Oreochromis niloticus: one gene and its partners. The protein of the gene in region 1 purifies or fractionates together with the protein of each later gene. This does not show direct contact. Links are inferred from orthologs where the notes say so. Each region holds a gene or a part of one and is shown in the gene's direction. Other genes may lie near its edges. The genes, in order: stx12, snap23.1, vamp3 and snap47.

Evidence for each region.
Region 2: the proteins of stx12 (region 1) and snap23.1 purify together in Homo sapiens (affinity purification with mass spectrometry; 3 studies listed by BioGRID and IntAct, counting the BioPlex papers as one, with this or other methods). This does not show direct contact. The link is inferred for Oreochromis niloticus from reciprocal best matches to the Homo sapiens genes STX12 and SNAP23.
Region 3: the proteins of stx12 (region 1) and vamp3 purify together in Homo sapiens (affinity purification with mass spectrometry; 3 studies listed by BioGRID and IntAct, counting the BioPlex papers as one, with this or other methods). This does not show direct contact. The link is inferred for Oreochromis niloticus from reciprocal best matches to the Homo sapiens genes STX12 and VAMP3.
Region 4: the proteins of stx12 (region 1) and snap47 purify together in Homo sapiens (co-immunoprecipitation; 3 studies listed by BioGRID and IntAct, counting the BioPlex papers as one, with this or other methods). This does not show direct contact. The link is inferred for Oreochromis niloticus from reciprocal best matches to the Homo sapiens genes STX12 and SNAP47.

Annotation. Positions count from the first base shown.
Region 1 is NC_031985.2:38,176,169-38,183,086, reverse strand, and holds the start of stx12 (syntaxin-12), read left to right. Parts: upstream 1-3,895; 5' UTR 3,896-4,052; intron 4,053-4,535; 5' UTR 4,536-4,568; coding exon 4,569-4,665; intron 4,666-6,100; coding exon 6,101-6,170; intron 6,171-6,348; coding exon 6,349-6,448; intron 6,449-6,918. Other genes in the region: si:ch211-57n23.4 (immunoglobulin superfamily DCC subclass member 3), read right to left, coding at 2,593-2,641. UniProt on the Homo sapiens protein: SNARE promoting fusion of transport vesicles with target membranes. Together with SNARE STX6, promotes movement of vesicles from endosomes to the cell membrane, and may therefore function in the endocytic recycling pathway.
Region 2 is NC_031983.2:19,368,592-19,375,810, reverse strand, and holds the start of snap23.1 (synaptosome associated protein 23.1), read left to right. Parts: upstream 1-4,201; 5' UTR 4,202-4,396; coding exon 4,397-4,404; intron 4,405-7,219. UniProt on the Homo sapiens protein: Essential component of the high affinity receptor for the general membrane fusion machinery and an important regulator of transport vesicle docking and fusion.
Region 3 is NC_031970.2:25,721,408-25,728,695, reverse strand, and holds the start of vamp3 (vesicle-associated membrane protein 3), read left to right. Parts: upstream 1-4,268; 5' UTR 4,269-4,401; coding exon 4,402-4,403; intron 4,404-7,288. UniProt on the Homo sapiens protein: SNARE involved in vesicular transport from the late endosomes to the trans-Golgi network.
Region 4 is NC_031982.2:19,266,256-19,273,867, reverse strand, and holds the start of snap47 (synaptosomal-associated protein 47), read left to right. Parts: upstream 1-4,602; 5' UTR 4,603-4,716; intron 4,717-5,088; exon of another isoform or gene 5,089-5,318; intron 5,319-5,450; 5' UTR 5,451-5,479; coding exon 5,480-5,976; intron 5,977-6,101; coding exon 6,102-6,610; intron 6,611-6,914; coding exon 6,915-7,039; intron 7,040-7,612. Other genes in the region: iba57 (putative transferase CAF17 homolog, mitochondrial), read left to right, coding at 883-1,274; 2-oxoglutarate and iron-dependent oxygenase JMJD4, read right to left, coding at 1,778-2,113, 2,202-2,348, 3,522-3,789, 3,881-4,006, 4,092-4,257, 4,350-4,602. UniProt on the Homo sapiens protein: Plays a role in intracellular membrane fusion.

The DNA of each region.
Region 1 (6,918 bases):
TGAGTCTGTGTGAATGACACGTGGTGTAGTAAGAGCTTTGAGTGCTGAAGTACCAAAGTGAGATATAAGGACCATTTACCAAAATCAGCAACACCGGAAGACTTAAACGAGCAGAGGAGGCAGCTAAAGAGTATGATCACAGAGTAAGTGTTTCCACAGTTCAGCAAAACAGCCTCACAACATTTAACCAAGTGAGGATCGATGTCGAGGTCGTGAATCAAAATGTTCTCGCATAACGAGACCTCAGTGGAGTCCTTAAACTCCACTCAGTGTACATTTATGTGACATGAAAACTGTCTAAACAGTACAGTGGATTTCAAAGTTAGCATCAGATTATCTACATATTTCTTAACCTGCTGAGGTTACCTATGTGCAGCCTGATCCTGGCCTCTTGGCCTGGGGGCTCTGCATTCAAGGGGTCGATTTTTAATAGGAAGTCAATCAATAAGCTTCAGCTTGTAGTCACATTTGATAAGGTTTGTGTTCACACATGAAGGCTGCAGTAAGCTTTGTTTATTCCAACACAACAGTGCTCATCCACAGTCAGACTGAAGCCTACATGATGATGATGATGATGATGCATCTCTATAAAATAAATGCATTCTTTAATTTGAAATCAGGAGACTTGAAATACTCAGGAAGCTGAATCTCCTAGTTGTCCTGCTTCGTGTTATAAACATGACACAAACAAACAGAAACTGGAATGCAGTGACGTGTTTCAGCTTCAGCAGCTTCATTCAATCACATCGGTGGATATCTTCCAAAATAATTGTGTTTTCAGACAGGAAGAGATATTTTACTGTGAAAGGGAGGATTAACTGTATAATGAGGGGTACCTGTGAAATCCATCATCTGTGCTGAAAACATCAGCAGCAGGTCTGATCCAGGAGCAGCGCGACAGAGACGAGGGACCGAAGCTTTTTAAAACCTTATTATGGTCCAAAGTCAGACAGGCTTTTAACTGAAGCTGTAAATGAAGCTGACTGTGATCCTGTTTCATGTCATCATGCACAGATACACGACCTGCTGGTAGAAAGAGTTTGTCTGACCTCTGTGCTCGTTACAAGCAGCACCGTGTTTCACAGCTACACCTTCTCAAACAGCGATGCTGAAGCTGAAAGACGGCTTTGCAGCGTTTTATCTGCTGTCTCTGATACTAAGTGGCACAGCTGTGATACTCTTCCAGCATAGAAATATGTAAAACAATTAACAGGCCAACTAGTAAATGAGAGTAACTGGGCCCATGAAGGCATTCGTTCACGGTGGCAGGGCACACTGTGGTGCTGTAAACATTAGCCTGAGCTCTCCACAGATTGAGATGTTAGCTTTTGTATGTTTCACTGCAGGAAACAGAGCCACCGGAGACCCATTGTTGTGGATTAAACCAGTGGGATGAACGGAGGAGCGTGAGGGGGAGGGTGGTGGAGGGCATGGTCACAGGCAGCTGGAGGAGGATTACCTTATAGTCACATATCTTTAATAAAGGCTCAATGTGAGCACAGACTGCTGCAGTGTTATGGAGATGAAGGTGTAAGGGTGAGGTCAGTGAAGACTGAGCACCCCCACAGACTTCTCTGGTGACCCTGAAAGCCGACCCCCTCCACAGGGTCAGAGGTCACTGACTCTCAGCTCATTCTGTGCTCTGAGTTAAGGACAGAAAACAAACTGTTTTAAACCTGCTGTGCTTTTCCCAAAAACAAACTTTTTCTGTCTCCAGCTCTGCTGCTCGCTCGGCGGGGTTACTACATCATGACCTAAATATAAATGAAAACTGCATTTTTTCTTTTAGATTTTCAGTTTTATTTGAAATCCTATTTTGAATGTGTAGAAATACAGTTATGTGAAATGTATGTGCTGTGAATACAAAGAGCCTTGCTTAGGCTAATGTTTGTTTGTGGAATATTAACAGTCACCACCCATATTACTCCGTAGAGTGGAGAGGAACCCCAATAATTCACCCCCACCCCCACCAAACTAATATCCATTCAACGCTGAACCATCAGCATTGAAAATGTGTGGGTGGGAGGAAAATTGGAATAATGGTCACTGAATTTACATCAAGTCTGAAACAGGTTTAGTTATATCATCGGTATATTATCGTCAGACAGGCTGGGCTCTTGTTCCAAAACGATAAAGATATTCACTGTCAGTGAGATCTGCACATGGTGTCAGAGTAAGAGATGGATAAACATCTGCAGTGAGAAATAAAGGTTATTAATATTGTGATGTTTTATAAAATGCTGTTGCTCTTTTGGATGAACTCACTTCCACACTCACCAGCTTTGAGTGGGATAATTCTGTTTCTACACCGTGTGACTCTCGTGTACACGTACAAACAAGACAAAACTCATGTCCACCTGCAGCCTGTGCAGGTCAAAACACACGAGGCCTGGTCTTTATGAAACTTAAGGACAAACAAACAGCAGCACTTACCGAGGAGTAGTTTTGTTTATCAAATGACAAAATGTTCTGCCCATTAATCAACACTGAACTGAACTAATATCAGTCTAGAAACTCATAGGAGGACAGAGCAGCAATCACACCATAATGTGTGAATATCTGCCAGTGCAGGTGAAGGCGAGGTCTACTTACTGAAACTGTAGAAGGCTGTGAGCCAGCTGAGGAAGGTTACTAGTTTCATTTTGGTCTCCAGCGTCCTCGCTGTTAAAGCTTCTCAACCCGCAAAACCCCAAAATCCAAAAGAGGAAAAAAGTCAAACGGACAGCCAGTTTCTTCTGTGCTCTCCTGCTGCGTGTCTTCTTTGGTAGGACAGCATAAACGGACACTTTCTGTGTCAGATCATTGCTCCTCTTCTGTCCTTCTCAGCATTCAGCCTCCACAAGGTTCATGTTCAAAGCTGCTCTGAGCATCGAGCGAGGAAGAGACCTCAGTGTGGACAGAGCTCATTAGTTATTCTGCTTCATTGTTGTCAGTGAATGGACACTGACACAGAGGTTTGTGGCAGGTTTGCGTCCTACCAACCAATCACAGCCCCAGAGCAACATAAGGGTGGTAGCTCAGCCCGGGAGCCATGATTGATAATCATTTAAAGAGAGGTCTTCTGGTTGGCCGCTGCCTGATGGACCAGCTGTGGCCTGAGCCCGAAACCCCTCGCAGGCTGGCTGGAGTTGTGATCCTGGGATACTTCCACCAGGCATAAAGAATCCAAGTGGAAAATACTCTGGATTCACAGGAAATCCAGTTTGGATTCAGGAGGGTTACATCGAAATATTCCTTAGCTATGCTGCAATAGGTCATTAGGGCTTTCCATGAGTGTTTCTTCTTCACTTACCTTTTTCATGTGTTTATAGACCACTCTGCATTTCATCATGCTGTTGAGATTTGGCACTGTATAAATAAAACTGGACTGAATTCAGCTGAACTTGTGAAAACATGAAACAAACACCTAAGCTGAGGCAAGTGAGGCCTGGTGTTTGTTCCTTTCATGAGTAATTATGGTAGGCCAGTATTTAAAAATAGTGTGCTGTATTTAGTCTACTTATACTTGTCTGACATTAACATTTGTTTGGTGATATGAAACATTTAAGTTGAACAGATAACTGTTTGTTCTGGAGAGAAGAGGAATGAAAGTCAGTAGAAGCAAGACAGAATACTTGTGTGGGTGAGAGGGAGACAGGTGAACAATCAAGAAATACAGGGAGTGAAGGTGGTTTAAATACCTCAGGTCAACCATCCACAGCAACAGACAGCGCACAAGAGAGGTGAAGAAGAGAGTGCAGGCGGGTGGAGTGGGTGGAGGGGTTATTTGTAGTGAGCCCTACTATGATGGGTGGTTTAGCAGAGGTGGCAAAAGTACACCATTCTTTACTTAAGTAGTTAAGACAGACTAATTTGCTTGATGAGGGAAAGTTTGGGCCACACTCCACTCCAGTTGGTGGCGCTAATGCACCATTTCGCTGTTTGCAACCTCCAATAAATGCCAAGAAGAAGAAGAAGTGACGCAGTGATATCACGGACCAGGAAGAGCAGCGTATTTACTACAGGACGAGAAGCTTTACCAACCTATGTGTTCGTTTCAGACAGCTTCATAAGTAAGTATGGGCTGGTTTCTTTTCCACGGTAAACGCCAGCCTCAGCGACGCCATGTTGTTTCTTTGTCTTATTCATCACACTGTGTTACCGGAAACAACCAACAGCTGACAGATTAGTGTCCCGAAGCTAGGAAGCGAGGAGCCGAGCCCGTCCAGCAGCCTGCAACACCCGGGAGATAAACAGAAAAAGCCCGACGAGGTCGCTGGCTTGGTGATTTAGGAACACACCAAATTAATAAGAGCTTACGTTCCCAAATATGGCTGCGCGTCGGCTGGCACACGCCCAGATAAACTAGCTAACTCGTTAGCAAGCTAACAGCTGTTGTTCCGACTAAGTGCCATTATTTTCAGCTCCGGTCTGCCGTCAATAACTGTACCCGGACTTTGAGACATGCAGCTGTACAAACCCCAGAACCGCACCGAGGAGCTGTCATACAGTGAAACCGAATCGGTGCTTTCTGATCCCTCTCTTTTTCTCTGCAGCCAAAGCTTAAGGTCCAAGGCTCCATCACAAACATGTCCTATGGTAAAGCAGAGAGCCGCTCGGTCCCACGGGACTTCGGCACCCTGATACAGACATGCAGCTCCAACATCCAGAAGATCACACAGAACAGTAAGTGCTTCACTTCCTTTGAAACGGCAGTGTGATGTGGCTGTACTCTGTAACAGCGAAAGGGTCCCATATAAGAAGACCGGTGTTTCTGAGGTGGGGGGTGTTTAACTGTAGTAGTAAAAAAGCATAAATAACTGGTCTCCGAGCACGCTGAGAGCCAGAGCTGTGCAGAGAATACCATTATTTTTATCATGGTGCAACCGACACAGCGAAGGTGAGACAAAATTAATGACAGTGTTTTCCAAACGTCTTCTTTTGCTGCTGGTTCAGATAATTTTGGTCAGTGAGACATGAAACCTGCAGATTCAGAATCTGTGACATTTCCAGCTGTGTGTCCGTGTACAGATGTGGCCCACGGGCCATACGTTTGACACCCCTGCTCGAGGCTTTTTAAATGCCAACTTGTTTTTAGACCAAAGATTTTCTTGTTCTTACAGCTCACGTGTTTGTTACAGTTGTTTGTTGTTTTATTGGTTTACTATTGTGGCTTTCACTTCAGCTTTTTCCACAGTACTGTGCAGTAGCAGAAATTTCTATTAGTGTTCTCTCCAGTGTGTAACACTGTTAAGACATCCAAACTATGACACAATATTTATGTTGTGAGAAAGAATGACACCAAAGCTGGATTTGTGTTGAGTTTCAAAGGAGCTTATTTACCTGTAACAGCCTCACATACGTTATTCTCTCATCCAGCTTCATTAGGCCCTCTCCTAGAGCACTTCATCAAGTGTTCGAGGCTTTTTTTCTTTATTGCCACTGTGTAAACAGATTATAACTCAAGTAAAAAAGTGGCACCTTCCTCGACACTTCCTGTCGCCTTTAACAGGGTGTGGACTGAGTCATATGTGAAAGCTGCAGCAGGATTTTCATTGAATATGAATACATGTTCATGCCCACAATGTCCGACTGCATGTTGATTGTAATATTTTTGGGAAAGATTTACAAAAGTATTGCAAGCAATAAATTGTATGACCTGTTTACCCACAAAGTCTGCACACAAGCGAAAAATGAACAGTTTCTCAAATTAAGGCGTGTCCTTTCTGTGAGAGGCTTTAAGCAGTGACCCGGCCAGGACAACAAATACAAACACAGAATCACCCAGATACACCTGAAAAACTGTACAAGCGATTGAACACAACAGCCAGATCATCACTGGGTACTTTTCACTTCCTTATATCGTTGTTTATGTGTATGTTCTGAAATCCCTCAGCTTCTGTTTCAGGTCACACTGATGATGATGATGATGATGATGATGGCTCATAGCAAACACACGTGTCTGACACAAATGTGAACATTAAGAAGCAGCATCAAACTGTGATGACTACAGATGATGTCATCTCTGTATAACTACCAGGAACAAAGTGCAGCTTCTTTCTTGTGTCACTTGTATATTTTTCTTCCAAAACTGAGTGCTATCATTGTGTTCCCATGGCAGCGGCTCAGATAAAGACCATGGTGAACCAGCTGGGGACCAGACAGGACACCAGTGAACTGCAGGATCGGCTGTATGTACCGATATCATCTCCTCTGCTAAACAAACACACTTTCAGTCACCTTCACTTTCTCAGAGCCAGCGCTGCCACGCTGTAGCGACTCTGTTGAACTGTCCTATAAGAAATGTATTTGTGTAATTATTAGAAGGTCTTATGGTCTGTCTGCTGTTTGAACTGTTGGTGTTCACAGGCAGCAGACACAACACTACACCAACCAACTGGCAAAAGAAACCAACAAACACCTGAAAGAGCTGGGATCAATCCCTCTGCCCTCATCGCCTTCAGAGCAAGTAAGTACTCGTTTACATGTCCTAATGAAAGTAGCACTGTACTGATTCTTCTATAGCTTACAGTCACAGCACTTTCTACAACATGCCTCATTCACCCATCCAAAGTTCCCACTGCTCCTCCTCCTGAGCTACAGCCACCTAACAATGGATGATGTCAAACTGTAAGATAAATATGCACACTAAGTTTGAAAGTGTGACTATGGAGCCTGTTCTTACAGCACAGGCTGAGTGATGCTGACAGACCCACTTGGTTTAATTGGAATTTCATTCAGCCAACATTGTGGCTCAGGACACACACACACACACACACTCAGGACACAGTGTGTACAGTATGTCATCATTCGTTGACATTTCATGTGTGGTGAAGGAAAAATTACTTTGAGACAACTGCAGAGTTTAGCTTAACAAATGGACACATACAGCTGAGATATTTTTGCTTTCAAAATCAGGATATTTTACTGCTGACTTTT
Region 2 (7,219 bases), on another chromosome or scaffold:
ATGAGCATAAAAGGAGATCTCATGTACTGACTGCACTTGCACTTTACTGTATCTCCATGGTCTAAACTGCATTACATTTTAGAAGGAAAATACTCCACTAGATTTCTGATTTTGCAAAACACAGATAGAAGAAAGACCTCCTCTATACACAAAGCTGTGTCCAGATAGATTTCAAGTATTTCTAAGTGCATTTTTGTGCACTTGCCTTCTTTTTTTAAAGGTGGAAATGAATGAGAATGCAAACTGAAGCTGAAATATTACACTCAAGCTTTAAACGAGACCAACACTTGGAGTGGGTAAATGTTCAGATAGGTGGCTCAAGAAGGAGTTAAATTACATTAAAATAGATTAAAGAAATAATACATGAAACAAACAAAATTCACTTGAAATTTGCTCTTTTTAATTGCACCATCTGTTTATGATGTCTTCTTCTACACTGGTTTTATGGCATCTGACCAACTGTCTACAGCTGTTTATCTCAGTAGGGGGTTATCTCAAGTCCCTAATATTTCACAACAGTGTGTCTTAATATTTTACTTCTATTTTTAGACTGTCTTTAAATTCTATAACATTATAAGCTGGAATTGAGTGGAAACTTTGAGCGTTTGTTTATGACTTGTTTTAATTTTCACCAACATTGATGATGATTTTCCCTTTACACAAGGTGTCATTTAAGTAAGTGTTAACTGTTAAACTGTTTAAAAGAAAGCAAAAAGTAAATCAATGAGAATTAGTTTTCTAAGTAAAAAGAATTGTTGTAGAATTCATCAATTTATTACCCTACATTTATTTTGTACCCCTTCCTAGACCTTTTGGCCTATAAATCAAGAATCCACACACTAACAAATGTCTAAAAGCATAAACATTTGAGTTTGAAAGGTCAAAGGTCAAGTCTGTACAAACATGGATGTAATGCTTACTGGTTGGAGGAGGAAGATTGTGACCATTCCACTGTCTCTGCAGCTGGACTGATCTAACAAGAAAGTTTAATGTTTAACAAGTGAAGATGAAATGTTTGCTTTCCTCCTTAAGCTCGTTAGGTTTTCCCCATATCCGGACATAAACAGCCAGACATACAATAGGAACTTTTCCTTTTGGGGTTTGTAAGGGCTAGTGCTAGCTTGAAACATTCATCAGCTTTGTTTTAAAAGCGTTATTTGAAACTACTGACTTGTCGCTTTTGGCAGCGAGATGTAAAAAGAATATCAGAAATGTTGTTTTGGGGGAAAACTGAGGCACATGAATAATAGATGAGCCTTGGCTTTCCATGTTTGGCCCTCCTGTGCAAAGCGGGCTAATGGCTATCGATGTCTCTAGTTTCCTTCAAATTGCTTCACATGAGAGCTCAATTCAAATGGAGAAAGAGTAGATTGCAGTGAAAAGGAGACGAGGGAATGAAATTATCTCTGAATATTGAGATGCACGCTTGGTCAGCCAATTCGTTGTCCTGACAAGTATCAGGTATCAGCGGAATTAGCCTAATGTTAAATTAAGCCCGATCAAGCAAGGCCTTGAAACATTCCCACGTCTCGGTCCTTGTGCGAGGAAAGATGGATGTACGATCCAACTGGAGCGGCGCCAGAAATGAACAGATGTGCTCCTTGAAATCACGAGAAACAAGAAATCAGGGCTATGTCACTGACACACATGCTCAGACACGCTCTTTTATATCCCCATGTATTCTCTTCCAGATCTAATTAATCACTTGATTATTTTATCTATTTTCACTGGCTGCCATACACATGGGACAAAAGTTGGCGAGAATAAACTTGGCCTATATGATGTTAGTTTTGGCAACAATCAAAAAGCAACCGAGGAAATACAGATGGCGATCTCCATTTTTCTCCCCCCTCTTTCCCTTTCCCCCTTCATCTCCTCTTCTGATGCTTCCTTGCGCTCTCAAACACATTATTAGGGTATAGGCTAATCTATTCTTCTCTCTCCCTTGTATTTTTGTCTCCTCATACTCAACTAACTAGCATGATTTAGGAATTATGGAATTAGGGCAGCACTCCCATCTCTATTAATGAGGAACAGGATGATGAAAGAGCTTGTTCCTCAATGTGCCATCTGCAGTCACTATTACACATTCACCTAATATATTTCTCTTTCTATTCTTTGCCCTTACCTTCCTCTCTCTCTCTCTCTCTCTCTCTCACACACACACACACACACACACATTATACCTTACTTGTAATTACAGAAGAAATAATTTCAGCTCTTCAGGCACTGTTGGATGTGGCGTGAAATGGTGAAATGGCACAGCAAGAAAGTTAACTATGGACCCCCACACCCTTACATAGACACATGCACAAACACATTTGCAGGAGTCCAGATGGGCCGTGTGTTATTGCTGAATAATGCATGCTATGTAGACTCTATAAAAGATACATGGGCAGAGAGAGCTAAGAATCATTCAGGCACCATGGCCAGTTTGGTGAGGGCAGCGTTGGAGCATCCCTTGTGCAAATTTGGAGCTATTACAGGCTTTTCAGCTTGTACATATTTAGCTATAGGTGACCCAACAGGGAAAATATTTAGCTCCAGTTAGAGAGAAAAATAAAACTTGCCTTTTAGACACTGTCAGCTGATATTGTGGCTGGCACTCTGCCCGGTGTCTTTGCAGTCACCTTGAAAAGGCTTTTGTGGTTTAAACCATAAAACTTGGGGAATTACACAGCAGATTCTTTGCTTGAGGCTCGGATTTCAGAGCATCGCTTAGAAACACTATGAAAAATATCCAACAGTGTGTCTTCATGTAAAATACCCAGAAGAGGGGGGGGCGACGGGGGTGAGGGGGGTAGGTCCAGGTGAAGGGTAAATGCTGCACTCATGTGGGGAAAATGAGCAGCGCTTTTTTTTCTTCTTTTTCCTCTGTGGAGTCATATGACAGGACATGCGCATCATTAAGTGTTGCGTTCAATGCTAACGGAACGCTCACTTCTCTATGAGTCGCAGTTTGATGCACAGTAAGGCCACAAAGAAAATTGATTAGCAAGAAAGAAACACTAATCTTAAGTGGAAGCCAAGTAACTTCACACAAGTTGTATTGTCTCATGATTTTGTTAAATCAGTATACAGCAGCTAAAAGATAAACACAGACGAAAAACACAAGTAGTTTCACAGTTATATTTAAGTCAACTTTTCGTGTAAAGTTGACTACCTGAGAACCAGACTACTTTTTCAGTTTTAGATTGTTAAACCTATAGGAAGAGAAGTAATGCATGCCGTGCCTCAAATCGTTCTGGGTGACCGTGGGATGCAAGGTCCTTTATGTGAAGTTGAAGTGCGCCTCAAAATCGTTGAAAGTTTTGAGTTTTCATATTTCCGACAGCATATGAAAGCACCATCTTCGGACAGACAGCGGAACCAGTGAAGGAATTCGGGAGTTGCCAGTGCCAAGTTCACATACCGTCAAGAAGGAGGAGTTTTCAGGTCATCTTTTCAAAAAAAAACAAGGAGGGTTAACTGTAAGTATTTACTCCCTTAATAAATATCTACCTATACTTTCCTCTCAACACAGTTGTTTGAGTGTTAGCGTTAGGTAGTTGACAAGAAAGCGGAACTAGCTAACTAGCAGGCTAGCCAGCACATTAGCCAGTTTACGAAGTTACCCTCTCGGATTTTACCCTCTTTGCGATAGCTGAGCACCACTGCAAGTTTTCAGACAATGTAAGACAAGTTTAATTCGCTTTGATAAACTGTTTGACACTTGTCTTTCCCTCTTTTGTAACTTTTTCATTAAGTTTAAGAAGTGTTGTTTTGGAAACCTCTCGGCCCCAGCGATGGTGTACTGGGTGTGGGACACTGCCTGAAACTACGGGGGTTTCTTGTAATACTTTTGGTTTGTTTCTCATTCAGGCTAACGTCACCTGTTTATCAAGTGACCCACGTTACGTGGCCACTTGGCAGTTAACCACAGTCAGGTGTGTGGATACGTGTTACAGCAGGAATCATTAACCACATGTCGTATTTTCCTCAGTGTCTTCTGTCTTGATAGTCAGGAAAACCTGCTTTTGTCGTATATAAATAGTGGAATCAAATGTCACAGTTTAGGCTTTGCTTGTCTGGTATGATGTCATAGGTCCCCTTGTTTGTTATTAGTCAACCCTCCTACCCAAAACATGACACACCTTCCTCCTCGGCAAAATAAATAGGTTGTCTTTATTCAAGACAGCCTGTAAGAACAAATCGTTGAACAATAGCTTCTGTCTGATTGTTTAAAGAAAATAAAACATCAAGAGTGAAATGAGGATATGTGTTCAACGTGATTGGAATAAGACGCCACCTGTGCTCCAGTCAAATCTGGAGGAACAGGTTTGGGTAGAAGAACAAGAAACGCATTTCCCTGTGTGGTGTTTGCCACTCGTGCTTGGTCAAGTGAAGAAACTGCAACATGAATAGGTATGTTCTTTAGCCTCGGTTGTATTATTTCCTTTGTTCCTCTGAACTAACATCTTTCTGGTTATATTAACTGTGGAACGAATTTAAGGGTTGGGTACGTAGTTTGGGGTGCAAACAAGCGAAATGTAATATCTAAGTCATATATTTGGTAAATCTAGTCACATATGTGGCTAAACACGGAGAAAAATTGCTATCAGTTTAAAAAAACTCTGCTTTTACTATCACATTTCGTTCTTTATCGCTGACATGTTCATCTGCCCTCGTCGTGGCTATCTAAAGAGTGTACGTGTGTAAATGAGTCCACCTTCATAGTTATAGTTGTAAAGTCACATCAGTGTCTTGCCAAGTCCAATAATCGGTCAGAAAAGGCAGTGAAGCCTGAGTGAATAAAGTGCACTCTTGTCCAAAAAAGGGGAAAAAGCAGAGTCAACAACATTAAATCCTCTGCACTGTCTGCCAAGTAGACTATCCATGTTTTTTTTTTTTCTTTCTTTTTTTTTCTTTCCCCCTCAGGATGTTTAGTGGCTGCAGGTTTGAAAGGGAAGTTGTAGTTCAGGGGTTATTTGCAAAACAGGAAAATGCCACTTGGACGTTAACAAGGAAAAGCAGATGACAGGGAAAATGCGGGGGGGAGCAGTGTTTGCATCTAAAAACTCTAGCCTTGGAGTAAATGATTCAGCTTTGTTTTTATAGTTTACTGCTTCTGCCCTTGACAGTACAGTGATAGGAAAACAAGCTTAATTCTTTGCTTATGATGAGCTTTATCTAATGTTGCCTTGTTCACCAAAGCTTGTCTGAGGCCATTACGCCAGTCATTTTTAGCCTATCCCATGATACAAGACTGCATGAAGGTCACCTGACAAAGTAATTTTGTTTAGATTGGATTTGTATCTGCTAAACTCCTGCACGAGGTAACATCAGTCATTATGTGATCCGAATTATAACTGCAACAATTAACACACTTTGTTCCTCTAAATGAATTGCATTGAAATGCACAATACAATTTGGCAGACAGCAGCAAAGGCTTGTTCCTCATGTATCCTGTTTTTAGATCTCTAACAAACATAAGCATTTTCTTCTGATCTGTTTTCATCTGTCTTATTTTGACTGAACTATTCATGCTCTGCATTGTTTGAAAACTACAGAGGGCACAAAAAACAGACAGTTTTCACACTTTCTGGGTTTTAGTTGCTAGACACGGTCAGCTCTTCCTGCTGCTGTTCACAGCTTCTTGATGATGCTGCCTCATGCCTAGCCTGCTGTTTTTACAAATTGTGCATGATCATGAAATCTGAATGTTGATCTGAACAGAGCATGCACTGAGCTGGCAAACATGGACTTGTGCGTCCTGATGTGATCAGCTCTGGGAGTTAATCACATCCAAGATTATAGTAGTAAAACCGCTATGTGTGTCACTTTGTTCTCAGGCATTAGCAGTTTTTGGTGACTGGGTAACTGACAATGAAGCTTCTTGAGAATTCAGTGTTTAACACAGAGGAAAGAAAGTTGTTTGATTCACATTACAAGGCACCTTTTTTATGGATATATGACAGGACATGGATTTTATGGATGTTATACTCTTCTGCTAATTAAGTTGATTTAGTGTTTCAGTACATATGCTGACCATAAAGATACTAGTGAGTGCACAGCCTGTTATCTTATAATCACATTTTGTCATTAGTTTCGTGTTAAACCAACCATAGAGCGCATCTGCTGTTATATAATTATTCTAATGTAGCATAACAGTTATGTTTTAGGTATTTATGCACTTCATTTTCACAGTTCTGTGTTGAAAGTAGCTTTGAGACTGACTGCATTTTGAAAATTCCGAAGAAAATCACAAGCTCATCACTTAGTTGTAGTCAAATAAGTTAACAAATGTAAATACCATCTTAAACATCTGAATATTCCTAAAGGACTTTATTTCATCTGTTTTTATACACTTTTACTGGTTATTTAATTGATCTGCAACCTTGAAATGTCTAACAATAACCAGTGATTTCAATTCGCATTTATGTATAGTAGGCAGGCATGATAAGTGTTTTTCCAGCCAGTTGTCACTATCCAGTCTCACGCCTCTGATTTCCATATCACAAGCTCCATATCCAAGTTCCCTCATTGTTGGCATACATGATTCTACTAGCCATCCCACTGCTAAGCTTTACATGCTTTATCAGTAAGCCTGCTCTGTCCAGACTCACAACACTCCTTCAGGGGAAGGAAAAGAGCCTGATTTGTTTGGATTTTGCATCTTTTCTTTCCCTCTCCATATGAGTGATACAAACAAGGTGAACATTGATTGCACATTTAAATGCTTAACCTTTTAAATGCATCCTCTATTTTTAGTAATGTAAAATGCTGAGCCTCCTTTTTTTTTTCTTTTTTTTTTTGTGGTCTTTCCAAACCTTAACGCAGGGATTCATTTATCCTTAATTATTTTTAAAGCATTAATTGTTCTACATTTATGGTTCACTGCTCTAAAAAATTTTCTCAAATCAGATTTGATAACTTCGTAGCGGCTTGTCAATGTGAGGAAACTTTCCACCACAACTTATCACAGTTTTTCTGGTAGATTTATCTACAAACAAGACAGGAAACAAAGTAGACCTAACATTTAATGAGTTGTAATCTCTATAAGCACACATCTGTAAGCACAATATATGCAGTATCTGCAAGCAACATCATTTTGATACCTGAAAATGTCAGGTTTCCACTTCTCCTATTCAACAGGCTTTGGTTAAAAGGTCGGGGGGAAAAAAAGTCGGAAACCATTGGTTTGTTTTGATAATGACTGGTGAACGAGAAGTGTGGCCTT
Region 3 (7,288 bases), on another chromosome or scaffold:
CAGTTGGTTCTCAGCTCAGCTCCTTTGCTAAACCCGGTGTCCAAGACATGCCAATCTCACTTTAACTTTTTTTCTATCTTACTTTGGGTGGGACAACATTTAAGAGAGCAAAGTTCATGACGGTTCACTGTTAAATCCAAAGCTTAAAAGTTCACTTCACACTGATTCACTGTCTCAGTGGGTCAGCTGTAGTGCGGTTTGGCCAGCTGTAGACCTGACTGGTCATTACAATGCAATTTTTGAGCACTTTCCTTTGCAAAATGTGCCGAAATAGCTCAGCTGGGAGAGCGTTAGACTGAAGATCTAAAGGACCCTAGTTCGATCCTGGGTTTCGGCAAAGCTCTTTTGGTCACCATCTAGGGCATGGTGGGTTTGTTGGTAGGACTTCATTATACGGCCTACAACTACGTGGATCATTCCCATCAAATGGGAAAACAAACACAGATGGTGCAGCTTGCAAACGTCCATCAAGTGGAGGTGGGATTTGAAGAAGGTCCTCCTCCAGACGCTCCCAGTCCTCACCCATTATACCATTGACTTACCTAGGGCTTGGTAGGTTGGGTGGTCACAGGTGGTAATACAGCCTAGCGATGTTTCCCCTAGAATTAAATCCTTGCCTTGGCTCTTGTCTGAAATGATCATTTAATAATATCTAACTGTAAATCCTCACCAGTACCTACAGTAAAATGAGAGGATAAGCGTTCACATTTTTACAGAAAAGAAAGACAATATGTGGCCCAGAGGACAAACACGTGGCTCTTGTTACCTGGCTAGCTCAGATGGAAGAGCATCAGACTTTTAATCTGAGGGTCCAGGGTTCAAGTCCCTGTCCAGGTGTCTCCTTGGGAACCTTATCCTTGCCCTTTGGTGGTTCCATGTCTTTACCCTAACCTAACAAGCTCACTTGTTCTTGATAGTTCTGTGACCTCATTGTCATTTGTAGCAAAGTCCATAGACTGCAGGTGGAATGACGATGTGGGATTTGTAGATCTCAGGGACAGAGGCCTCTTTCAGATAATCCCAGCGTACAAGCTCTGTAAAGAATCTTTCCCTGCCCCTTGGTCCAACTCACCGCCAGTTGGTTCTCAGCTCAGCTCCTTTGCTAAACCCGGTGTCCAAGACATGCCAATCTCACTTTAACTTTTTTTCTATCTTACTTTGGGTGGGACAACATTTAAGAGAGCAAAGTTCATGACAGTTCACTGTTAAATCCAAAGCTTAAAAGTTCACTTCACACTGATTCACTGTCTCAGTGGGTCAGCTGTAGTGCGGTTTGGCCAGCTGTAGACCTGACTGGTCATTACAATGCAATTTTTGAGCACTTTCCTTTGCAAAATGTGCCGAAATAGCTCAGCTGGGAGAGCGTTAGACTGAAGATCTAAAGGACCCTAGTTCGATCCTGGGTTTCGGCAAAGCTCTTTTGGTCACCATCTAGGGCATGGTGGGTTTGTTGGTAGGACTTCATTATACGGCCTACAACTACGTGGATCATTCCCATCAAATGGGAAAACAAACACAGATGGTGCAGCTTGCAAACGTCCATCAAGTGGAGGTGGGATTTGAAGAAGGTCCTCCTCCAGACGCTCCCAGTCCTCACCCATTATACCATTGACTTCCTAGGGCTTTGTAGGTTGGGTGGTCACACGTGGTAATACAGCCTAGCGATGTTTCCCCTAGAATTAAATCCTTGCCTTGGCTCTTGTCTGAAATGATCATTTAATAATATCTAACTGTAAATCCTCACCAGTACCTACAGTAAAATGAGAGGATAAGCGTTCACATTTTTACAGAAAAGAAAGACAATATGTGGCCCAGAGGACAAACACGTGGCTCTTGTTACCTGGCTAGCTCAGATGGAAGAGCATCAGACTTTTAATCTGAGGGTCCAGGGTTCAAGTCCCTGTCCAGGTGTCTCCTTGGGAACCTTATCCTTGCCCTTTGGTGGTTCCATGTCTTTACCCTAACCTAACAAGCTCACTTGTTCTTGATAGTTCTGTGACCTCATTGTCATTTGTAGCAAAGTCCATAGACTGCAGGTGGAATGACGATGTGGGATTTGTAGATCTCAGGGACAGAGGCCTCTTTCAGATAATCCCAGCGTACAAGCTCTGTAAAGAATCTTTCCCTGCCCCTTGGTCCAAACATTTTTTTCCAAATGGTATTTGACTTGTCCATGTGTGCATCCACAACTTTTAGACAAGGTTAAAGGTGCCAGTTTTGGTTAGCATCTTCTCAGTTCAAGGCGATGTAAAACTCACTTCACTGTGGACAGTAAGGCTCGTGTTCAAGCAGTTTCCAGTCCATCGCAGGGTTGAGCCTTCATGATTCCTGGGTTCTTCAAAACATCCTAACCAATTTCCTCACATCTGACCGTGTGTCATGGCTCAGCGGCCCAGGAAGAGAGATGGACATAGGTGCAGATTCCAAAACTGGAGGCGTGTAGCAAGTTTAACAAAGATGTTTATTTACAGAAAGGAGGGAACAAACTCAAACTAGACTGTGACTATGAATTTAAATTCGCATGAGTTGGAGAAAGGCAGGAGGGGGCAGGGGCGAGTCTGAGATCCAGGTGAGCACGGAGCATGACGCTGGAACGCAGGGAGGCAGGCAGGTGAGAATGGCAATTAGACTGAGAGGTTTTACCAGCAGCTGGAGACCAGGATCCAGGTAAGCAAGTATGGCAATGGGTGAAATGTGAGCTCTGAGAACAGGCTATGAAACAGGAGAGGAAGGTAAGTACACATACTACAGTTTAATCGAAAGAATGTGAGGCCACAGACTAACATTGGTTAGCAGATAATCTGGCGAGGACTAATTGAGTGTGTCGATCCTGTATACTGCTGGAGTAATTGCCCAAAGGTGGGTAGCCAGGGAGGAGCAACAAGTCTCTACCCAGAGGAGGAGAGCTGCTGCTGGAGAAAATACCGTGACTCACCCAGACCGTGATAGTTTGGGTCATCTTCCAGACATCTTCCAGCCTGTATGCATACTTTTAACCCTGTGTGGATTATAGAAAAAACAAACAAATCAAACATATGCACTCAGTTCTAGTTTTCTTAAACTCAATAAAGATGTATTCTGTACAATCATTTCACCCTGGAGAAAGACCAGTTCAAAAAATCATTAGAAGCCCAAAATTACCATGACATTTATGCCCATGATGAGTGTATGTAAACTTCTGAACACAACTGTAATGGGATCATTTCTGTTGCTAAGTAAATTATAGGCTATTGTTTCCTTCCTGTGGCCTTTGATTACCCCAAAACACATATCATTGTGCATTTTGATCACTGTGTAATGTAAATTTTTAATGCTGTTATCCTTCAGAAGTAAACTCGGTAAACTCTGTCATAAATTAAACTCGTGTAGGCCACTGTTGTGTTGTTGCAGAATTGTTTTTGCATTAGTTTTGTATGATATGAATCCATTAATAAAGCATTTTAGGGAATTAGCACCTGCTCTCTTAAACCACATAATACAACTCAGTGACTGACACAAAAACAGACTGCGTTCAGTTTTTACAGTTTAAGGAAGCACTTAAAGATCGATTTGTTCTAAATGTTTCATATAAATCTACTATACATGCGTACACACACATATATACTCTCTTTAACAGTTTGAATGAAGAAAGTGTCGGTACTCCTATTTTTTCAGTTGTTGGTGGTTAGTGGTTGTTAATGACGTGTGGATGGGGATGAGTTTTTGTTCTCATAAGTCACATGCTGATCACGGGCTTGGGTGGTCGCCTGCTCCTTGCCTGTCTACTGTAGTTTGCAAATAGAAATTAAATAAATAAAAGGTGAAAATAGACTGATTTGAGGCGTTACCTCTTTAATGGTTATTGACTAAGGTGTGCGAAGTGTGCGTTGCTTTTCACATTTTGCGTTAATAATGGTAGGCATGCGGCAGCTATAAGCCACGACCTCTTTAATGTTGCCTTCACGTGCTCACCGCAAACTCATACTTTGACCAAATAAAGTAGTTACCAGATAGTATGATCCAATTTTGTAATTTATTTCTTTAAAATAATTTAGTACTGTAAAAGTTTATGTAATTACTGTAAGTTTGCAGGGAAAATTCTTTGATTTTTTGATTTAAATGCTAAATGTAGTCAACTAAAGGTTAGTCACCAGGCTAAATGGGTTATTAAAATTTATTGTCACATATTATTGTATCGATATCGATTTGAAAAGAAATTTCTGAGATTTCTTTTCTTTTTTTTTTTTTTTTATTAAAGTACGCGTTTACCTTGTGAAATTTAAATACGTGTGATTGTTCCTAATTCCGGCAACCTTGAAAGCGGCACAAAAACCGCTGGTACGGCTGGGACTGTTACGGCTTGACAGTGAGCTCACAGGCAAAAATCACCAGCGGTGTCGTTTGAGGAAATTTCGTTTCACAATGTAAGTCTATCCTATACCACAAATTTTTACTTGTCAGTCAGATGTTGATGACCTCGCTTCCGTTTTTTTTCTGGTAATACTTCAGGACGCGGGCGCAAAAACAACGCCCAGAACTTTTGCTACTACCCTGCAACAAGTGCTAGTGCTCGTCTTCGAGACGTGAGCTAGCTAAACTTAGCTTAGCCACAGCAGCAACGCCGCATTAAAGTTGTCTAACGTTGCTCACTCCTCGTCATACCAACTTATCTTTGCTAGTTATGTAGGTAGTCAAGAAAGAGCGTACACAATCGGTTTGTATACAGGCCACAGCTGTTACTGTTACACAAATCTTACTGTTAGACAACGATATGTGCTAGCGTTTTAGTCTATGCTTAGAAACTACCGTTTCCTGTGTCGTTGGCCTATCTACAAGCTACTCCTGTATACTTTGTTTAAAAAAAAAAAAAAAAAAAATCTTAAAATGTTTGTGTATGTCCCTTTGTGATTTCTAATTTGGATATGACTAAAATAATAGCAAGACACAATCAAAGGCAACCCAAAGTTGTAAACAGGAAATGTATTAATGGCCGAAGTGTTTTATTTTTAATAGGTCGTAATCATGTTGATTACTGGGTAATTAAAATAAGTGTTAAACTATATCTAAGCTGAATACTTTCCACTCCAGTAATAACGGCATTACCGACAACGGGGTGCAAGTTATCTAACGTTATTTCCATCCCATCAGCATCTACTGTTTTTTTTTTTTTTCTTTGTTGACACAGTTAGGGACTGTACTCTGTGTGTTTCTCGGTCAATATGTGTATTAGTAGGCGCTTTGAAGCTTATGGGTAATGAAAGAACAAGGTAAGAGACGTGTTTCGTGAGTGTTTACTTTCTGGGAAGGTGTATTGCCTTACAGCATCAACAGAGGAAACTTTTTTTCTTTTTGAACTAATTTATTAAAAAAAGGTACAAATGTGAGTCTCACTACATAAAAGTGGGCATGCGCTATATTGTTGTGTATTATTTCTCCTACTTGCTCTTTATACAGTGCACATAGAGGCAGTGTACTTGGTGTTTTTGTAATGAATCACAGACAGATTTCCACAACTATTTTTGTCCATATTAAAAAAAAATCCTTGGCAGAGAATTTGCATGTCTTTCTGAAATTGAGTGATGATTTGATTAAACCATAAAAGTCTCTCTTTCATGATGTTACTTGATGGTAGTGGTTCAGTAGTATAGATACAACAGTGATGATGATATAAACTTAGGTCCCGGAATGTATGGATAGTAGATTTACAATGGATTTGAAATAAAATAAATCTATTAATGCGAGAGGGTTAACAAGAACATTCAATTAACCACGATCACAGTTTCTGGACTCAGTCCTTTATTTGAAGTGGTTCAAATGTAACTGGACAATTTACTCCAAAGTTGTTTTAATATTTCTCCATCATTCAATCAGCAGTATGGTTGGTAGTTGATTGCTTGCAACTCTAACATTTGCATTTGGAAACTGTGGCTGTGAATCCACAACATATGGTCAAATGGGAACTTAATTCAAATGACACAATAAAGCAAAAATAAAATTTATCTGTAAATTTTGTTCAGTGAGTTAAATTGAGGCTGAAAGGCGGGACTTAAATTGCATCTTGATTCCTGTCTTTTTATTCTAATGCATTGGTGAACATGGGTGTGTTGAGGCAGTGCTGAGCCAGCTCTGCCTTGCTGCCTTTTGAGAACCATTGCACATTACAACAGAACTGAGAACTTGTAGCTTAAATTGGTTTCATTGAAATGGAAAGGAAAATCATAGTGGACGGAAGATCCTAGGCTGCATCTGCATTTGGTTAATTTTTTAGTTACACCTTCAAAAGCCACTATCATCACTTGTTCCCAATTTGGGACCAGCAAAGTGGTGACATGCGAGTGTCTGCTTTTTGGCACTGGCACCAGTATTTATTTCTGTGGTTGTAGATTAGGCACATGCACAGCATTAGTAGAAAAGAGGTATGTGTAGACATGGTATCAGACCTACATAGCTCAACTAAAGAGTCTTCACGTGAACCCTGGCGTGAAAGAGAATCGGGTATAGCAATGGCAGAGGTTGCTATACCTAAACACAAATGTAAAACTACATAAACCTAAACATAGGCACACCAATGCACATTGCTAAACTAATTAACAATAATAGATTTTTATTCATTATTTACGTCTTTCCCAAAAAAGTCAAAGATAGAAACTCATAGAATTGAATACATAAAAATGAGTTCAATTAAAAGTATTGACCAAATTTTTTTTTTTTTTTTTTTGTTTAAACATAACACACATTTAGTAATCCACTCTTTACCCACTTGCTCTTCACTAATACAAAGACCAAACCAAACAAAAGAGAAGAGCGTTTACTGCATTTGTTTATTAAACCTACCTTCATTGTATCCTAGCTAGACATCACTTTGTTTTTAACTGAGCCAGAGAATGTTACCCAAGGGATCCAGCATTTTTATTTTTATTTTTTCCCAAGTGCATAAATTAGATGCTCTTTTTTTTTTTAAATGGCGTCACAGCTCTTGCCATGACCCTCTTTGAGGAAAAATGTGTTTTCATTTACAGGAAAGTGGGCTGTATGTAGATGGCACATAGTGAGCATGCAACCATCAATTTAAAATTATTATGAAACAGTCACGTGCACAATGGTACAAACACAATTGGCTCTGGTGAATATTACATGAATCTGAGGCTAATTTTATGTCTGTACTTGTGGGTAAGTTCAGGCCATTTTACATATTAGAGAACAAAGCCCACCACTGATGCTGTAGTGTAGTTTTGATACTAGCAGGAGCTGCAGGAAATCTATATCTACAGTTTGTAATAGTTTGCTTGTTTGTTTTTTGTGTTTTAAA
Region 4 (7,612 bases), on another chromosome or scaffold:
TTTATTCGATATGCTATTTTACCCTATTTATAGTGTTTATTGTATCGATTGATATGCTTTTATACCTTTTTTATACCATTTTTATTGTTTCATTTGTTATGCTTTTATTCCCATGTGAAGCACTTTGAAAAAACTTCCTGTTTAAAAAGCGCTATATAAATAAATTTTACTTACTTACTGCCTCTCGCCCTATCGTAGCTGGGATAGGCTCTAGAAAAAAAAACATAAGAAGAATAAGATAATGGAATGATTGATCTTTACCCATTTGATTAGAGCAGAATTGGCTGAAATCTTTCGCTTCTATAAGCTAGATCCTGAGACTTGAAGATAAATTCATGCAGTGGGTGATTTTGCAAAACCTTCTGATTTTGTTGTGAGGTCGTAGGGTGTTGTATTGAAAAAATAAAGTATCGTGCAGCTCTCTCCATGCACTTTCATATGATATGTTATACTCTATGGGTTTTTTATTTCCAGTTTCTTTTCTAGGTCAACTTTGACCTTGGGCTATGAGAAATGAAGGTTGAGGTCAAATGCTTAGCCAACCTCAGTGTCCCCCAAGACCTGGAATATTGTTGCGAAGTTTGACAATGATCTATAAAAAATTGGGGATAATATAAAGTTTTTGCTGATTTTTAGTTTTGGTGTGACCTTTACTGTATTCTCACCAAAATTAAAATCAGCTCGAGATGGTATTGAATCTACCATCACACAAAATTTAAACATGATATCTTGAAAGCTGTGGATGCTAGACTGCTAACAAACAGACAGATAAGCAGAGACAGAAAAGGAGGAGGGGGTGGGTCTGAGAAGCTTTTATTCGTCTGAAAAAGTACTCTAATTTTATGACGCGTGTTTGTGTCCTTTGCTGTTTTCGTTGTCTAGGTCTACCTGAGGGAGTCAAAGACCTTCCTCCTGGGGTTGCATTTCCACTAGAGTCCAATCTTGTCTACATGCAGGGTATCAGCTTTAGCAAGGGCTGTTACATTGGCCAGGAACTCACAGCCAGGACTCATCACACTGGTGTGATTCGAAAACGCCTGATGCCAGTACGCTTGTCATCTCCAGTGGAACACCTCGAGGAAGGAACGGCACTGCTAACCCAGTCAGGCAAGCCAGCTGGGAAGCACAGAGCAGGGACAGGAGAACTGGGTCTAAGTCTGATCCGCATGGCGCACGCCAAAGAGGTGTTGACGCTCAGATCTTCTGATGACACTACAGTGACACTCGAAGCCTCTGTGCCAGACTGGTGGCCTGAAGATGCGAAATGTAACTGAAGGGAATGATGTTTTAAAGCTCCCTAAAAATGACATGCATCACATCTGACAGACTTCTCATAGACATAACCCTCAAGTACAGTATGTTACACTGTCATTGCTTAACAGCTGTGTGGCACTAGTCCATGTTTGGGTATCTTTTTTTTTTTTTTGCAATAAAGCCCAAGTTTGTGTGTGTTTTGGATTTTTTGTTTAAGTATTATTTACCACTTAACTATGCACTATTATAGATTTATCGCAGCTTGGTTCATACTGGACACAAATAGTGTTGGTGATTATTCAATAAATATTTAAAAGAGAAAACTCAGATTTTTTTATGTATTTAATCTGTCAGTGCAAAAACAAATGCAAGACATTCACAAGCAATATTTGAGATTGCAGTTCATCTCAACCCAAAGATGCGGTAACAGATGTAATCATCTTTTTTTTTTTGCACTTTTGCAAACGGGCACTTTTCATTCAAGCTATTTCCAGGCGATAACAATGGTGAGAGGCTGAACACATTACTCCTGATAAAGGAGATGCTGCCCTCTTGTGGACTGTATGGTGTCACGAATTTGCTGTAACATTGTTTCTGGCTGCAGAGTCAATGTTGAGTGATCGAGTCGCTTAAAGTCTTCATTGCACAGGAGGCATTCGATTATATGAGCTACTCTTTGTAGGTCAAAGGCCGCGTGGTAAGGTCCCAGCGTGGTGAGGATCTCTGAGAGATGACGTGAGTAATCGGAGGGATCCCCAGAGGAGCAAGCGTTAAGGAAAGCCATTCTGTTGTTGGCAATGATTTTCAAAAACGAGGCAAATTCTCCATAATTGATACCGGAGCAAGCCTTCATAATTACCTAAAAGGAAACACACCCAGCAATTGCTATTATGATCAGAGCAGAAGCACATTTAAATGACATGACTGAAATGTTCCATGCATTGTACCTGGCAGTGCTGATGCCACGAGTCCATTGTGTTTCTCCACTCATCTATCTCTTTTTGAACAGATGACAGTTCAGTCTGAAGAAACTGCCACATGATGTCAATGTTGCAACCATTCAGCCAGTTATGATTAATGGAGATGGTGTCCTCCTGTATGAAACAATGTTTTAATATGTCAAACTGGTGATAAATAAAACGCAGTGTTATACAACGTAAATTAACTGTGATGTCATAATTTCCTGCAAAAAGCCATATTTCTACCAAAAAATATATACAAGGTTAAACTTTATGAAAGATATGTTGACTGGAGGAGATAAACCAGAGCTGCTGTATTGAAACATGAGTGTGTCTGTACATGTGTGTAATGTTAAACAAAACATGAATTTTGTTTAAAATCTAATTTGAAAAAAAATTTATTAGGGCTCTTGTCATCTAGTGAGTAGTAAGTAATCCAGTCCATTAGATTTGTAGGCATCTGAACTTATCACTTCCTTTCATCAATATTCGTTTTCCTGATGAGATCTGAACACTATTAGACACCTGAGTTGTAGGCTAGCCCTCGCGCTCTACTGTCTACACTGTTCACACACAGAAAACACAAAAAACTCTTAAAACAAACCAGAACTGCACATTTGCTTCACATCTACAATGCAAATCTCCCATTGTACTACATTTGACAGATGCTCTGTTGCATTTCTCTGCAGAAGATTGAGACTCAACAGACCAGGCAAAATTGTTCTAATCTTCAATTGCCCATTTCCAGTTAGCCTGTGCAAAGTGTAGGCTCAGTTTCCTGTTCTTAGCTCAAAGGAGTGGCCAGGCATGGTGTTCTGTTGCTGTAGCCCACTCACTTCGAAGTCTGACATGTTTTAAGTTCAGAAGTGCTATTCTTGTAAAACTTGTTTCTAACGAGTGGTTAATTGAATTGCTGCTAGTGCTACCTCATCGAGAACTGTCGTTCACTGGATATTTTCTGTTTTTCAGAGCATTCTCTGTAAGCTGGGAAAAGTTTCTGAAATACTCAGACCAGCCGGTATGGAACAAACAATCACATTCAAAGTCACTTAAATGGCCTTTTTTCCTAATTCTGATACTCAATATGAACTTCAGCAGGTCATTTTGACCATGTCTACATGCCTTAATGCACTGAGTTAGATAATTGTGTTAACAAGCAGCTGAACACGTGTACCTAACATTGTGGCTGGTGTTTACATTCAGTCTAACAGAACACTTCTCATAGTAAGAAATGCAACTTGTCTTTTATAATACTTGGCAGACCATTTTCCTCTAGTTCAACAGTAGATATGCCTCTACAGCTCTTACCAGATTATAAACTTGATGATGCCAACCACTAGGCACAAAAATGATTTCTCCTGCCTCCTGAATGATTTCAAGAGGTTGGCAGGCTTCTTCAGCGTGTGGAAAAAGGCCTCTGTCTCGAAGTTCAGCTGACGTAACATCATAAGGGAGGTTGCCGTGAGTGTCTCGTAAAAACTCCTCCTGACCTGGAGGATACAAGAGCCACTTCTTCCTGCCACAGATGTTTGCAGACCAACTGTATGAACGGAACACATCAGAGTGGAATGGTGTCCTGGTAACAAGAAAGTGCACTGGGTCGGATCATGAAACATTTTATGTAAGCTTATGTTTTGTTTAGTTTTTTTAAAATAATGTTTTCATACCATGACCCTTTAGGTCCCATGTAGACAAATCGGTAGTCATCCACTTCAAGGGTGTCCCAGTATTCATTGAGCCAGTCAGAAGTAAAGAACACTGGTGTGGTGTAAACATTATGTTCTGGAAAGTCCCTGTGGAGAAATTTACAAAGGATAGTTACACATTTTTCATACAATTGTGTAAACATTTTTCATTGGATTAATATTACTGTGATACCTTGACATGTGCCAGTCTTTAAGATAGAGGCATCCTTTGGGTGATGAGTGTCCATTCAAGATGTATTCCCTCCAGTAGTGTATAAATTCTTTGAAAGGCATGACTTGTTTGGGGTTGGCATTGTACTCCTTCGCATTGCAGTTTGCAACAGGGACTGGAGTCTCATCTGTGATTGAAACAGTAACAGTTATTAAGAATGATTACAGAATATCTTTGCAGACATTTACAAAGTAATGCATGTTTGTTTGTTTGTTTTACCAAACTCTTGCAGCAATTTCTGGAAATTAGGTTTCCCATCCCCAGTCACCCACTGTTTCCTACACTTCCACTCCTCTGTGAATCTCCTTGAAAACATACAAGGGTGATTGGGGAGCAGATATTTCTTGAAAAACTTGGAATAGCTAAGCTCCTTGTCAATGTAATCTAGAAAATGCGAAGACCAAAACTGTTCATATGACTGCCTTGGTATTTTGACCAGGCTGCTGCAGTTACGGTACGCCTCCCTATCCATGATGGTAAACAAGCCCTCGGCTAGTTATTTAGCAAGCTCAGCTGTCAGGGTTTGTACAGCAGGGGAACTGTGAGGGGAAAAGCTAACTGGAAGACTAATTCGCCATTACACTGCGTACGTATTCTCACGTTTCTGCCACATTTGAAAATCAGGTTAAGCTAGAAAAAGATACTAAGCTAAGAAAAAACGCAATTTTCCAATATGACAAGCCGCTACACATTAGCGCATGTTGGGACTCCTGAACGACGCACATATAAAACCGTTGCTATTTATATTTTGTCACGATACATACATATATATATTTAATATATTTATATTAACGTTATGTTTTTCGTATCGCTTGGAAAGTGCCGAAACCGCCGCCGCTGTCATTATTTTTCGCCAGACATTTTCGCAATAGTGCTTCGTTTTTTTTGACAGCAAGTTTTTTTTTTTCAAGTCGGACGGTAAATACAGCCGTGCTCGAGCGTGACGTCACTTCCGCAACAAACAGGAAAGTTACTGAGAGGACTACGAGGTAACGTAATGCCCAGCCCGGTGTTGACGATTAATGTGGTGTGGGTTTAATTGCACCGAGAGGATATAAAACACGTTAAAAGGGTTATAACATTATAATGACGCGCGCGTAATGCGGTCAGCTGGCTAGAGAGCTGAAGCTGCCAGTGTGAACGCCTCGACTGAGCTCATCTTGCTGTCTGGACTACACTCAAAAGAAAGTATGTTCTTCATCACGACTCGTAGATCACTCAGTACAAAGTGCTTCTGATGTAATTTCATCTTAACCTGCAGCAGTACCTGTGTGTATGTTGTTGTCATGTTAAACTGATACCTGTTTGTCCCCCTGACAGGTGAATCTGTCTTATCTCCTTCAATCACAATGAGCCGGGACGTTCCCATCCACAGCTGGCCAGGCTCCTATTACATCAACAGTGAGAAACGGTGGGAAAACGGAACCCTGTCTCTCACCAGAACCACGGTGCGCTTCGTCTCCAACCAGAGCAAGGAGAGTCTTGCCAGCTTCCGTCTCTCGAGGATCGTGGAGATCAAGATGGAGTCATCTAGTTTCATCTTCAGCACTCTCACAGTACTTGAAGAAGGCAACGTGAAACATTGGTTTGGTTCCCTTAAGCCCAACAGGGTGGTGGTTTATAATGTGTTAGAGCATTTCTGGAGAGAGCGGCTTCTCTCTCCCAGCTCAGAAGCCCAGCGGGCTGAGGCTCAGCCTACAAAGGGAAGAGAGCTTATCAGCCTGGTGGCAGGGGCCCAGAAAAGATTGGAGGACACTGGCAGAGTCCTCGGCCATCAGGGAGAGCAGTTTGACAATATGATGCAGGGCCTGGAGAAGATTGACTCTGACTTGGGCGTGGCTGACAAGTAACTATCTTAAGATATTTTTAGTTATTGAAGTCTTGCACATGTCTTGTTCATATTGCTTGGCCAACTCTATAACAAGGCCTAATTTATGACTAACATAAGTTCCTCCTGCCTCTGTATTACAGACTTCTGTCAGAACTGGAGTCTCCTTCCTGGTGGCCATTTGGTAAACTCCCCTGGAAGACCCAGCAGGATGCAAAGGCCGAGGATGCTGCGAGAGCTGCAGCTGCTGCTTCTTCTTCAGCAGCCAGGTACTCCAGCAGAAATAAGTTAATCACAAGCATCCCAGCAGTGCTGTCCAAAGGTGGAGAATCGGACTTGAAGCCTGGATGTTTGTTGGTGCTAGTGTCCTCGCTGGAGGTGCGAAACACAAACTGCCAGCTCCTTCACAGATTTGAGCGAAATGAAATTGACGAAATCAGGGTGCACAGCCCCTATGAGATTACCGTCAGGCAGCGTTTCATCGGGAAGCCAGACATATGTTACAGGCTCCTGTCCGCCAAGATGCCAGAGGCTTTGTCCGTGTTAGAGATGCAGTACAAAAAGAAGATAGAGTTCACAAGCGAATACACAGATTTTAAGACAACTCCAGTTTCATCGCCACGTGACACAGAAGGGAAAAGCTGGACTGAAGGTAAGGAACACATCAAAAAATAAATAAAGACACTCTTATTCCACAGTGGTTTCCATGCCTAGTATAGATTTGACCACTAAGTGGCAGTAAAGGTCTGCATTTCCACCTATGTGTATTTATAAGTGTGCAGCCACATGTAAAAACATTTCATCATGGTTATTGGTGTCTCCTTGACAGAAATGTATTTTGATGAGTCACTTCACCCTGATTGCCTCAGTTGCTGTACTCTGAGTTTACTGTCTGGTTTCCTCATAAACAACATATGTACTCTGCACTTTTTCACCATCTCCACCCATGGAATCAGGTTTACTGCAGACGTGCCAAGAGACAGAGCTCCCACTGGAGGTCCCCGCAGGAGAGCTGTCCCAGTTGCAGGTGCATGTTTTCCAGCCATCTGTCAGTCAGGCTGAGGCCCAGGAACTCAAACAGGTGAGAAAAGCTGGACTCCCAAATTTATGACTACACTACCCTGGCCTTAAAATGTTTCATATTTGTATTCACAAGACAAGTAACACAAATGAAAAGCCAGTGTGCTCCGGGAACAGATTGATTCAAATAGGGGTAGCTGCTATTGTAAATAATCCCAGAGTCTCAGCAACATGTATTTTGATGTTTCCAGTCCAAACCACAATTCATCATAATGATTTTTTTTTATTTTTCATCCTGTATGTTTAAAATGTTATTTGGTGAGACCACAAACCAACGTCCATCCTGGTTTTAAGAGAGGAAAAGAAACACGGTTAGTTATTTGGTCAGAACCTACAATGTCTTTCCATTCAGAACCTCACAGCGCTGAATGCTGTTACAGACACGGTCTGTGGTGGCAAGACCTACACAGTGACGCAAATTCAGACCCGTGATTCGAGCAAGGTTTTTTTTTTTTTTTTATGTGTGTGTGAATCGCTATTACAGGTTGCTTAGACTAGGATTTTTCATGTAAAACTTTCAGAAAGTTGCTCTTTGTTTAATCATATAATGTTTAAATGATCAAAGGTAATGAGT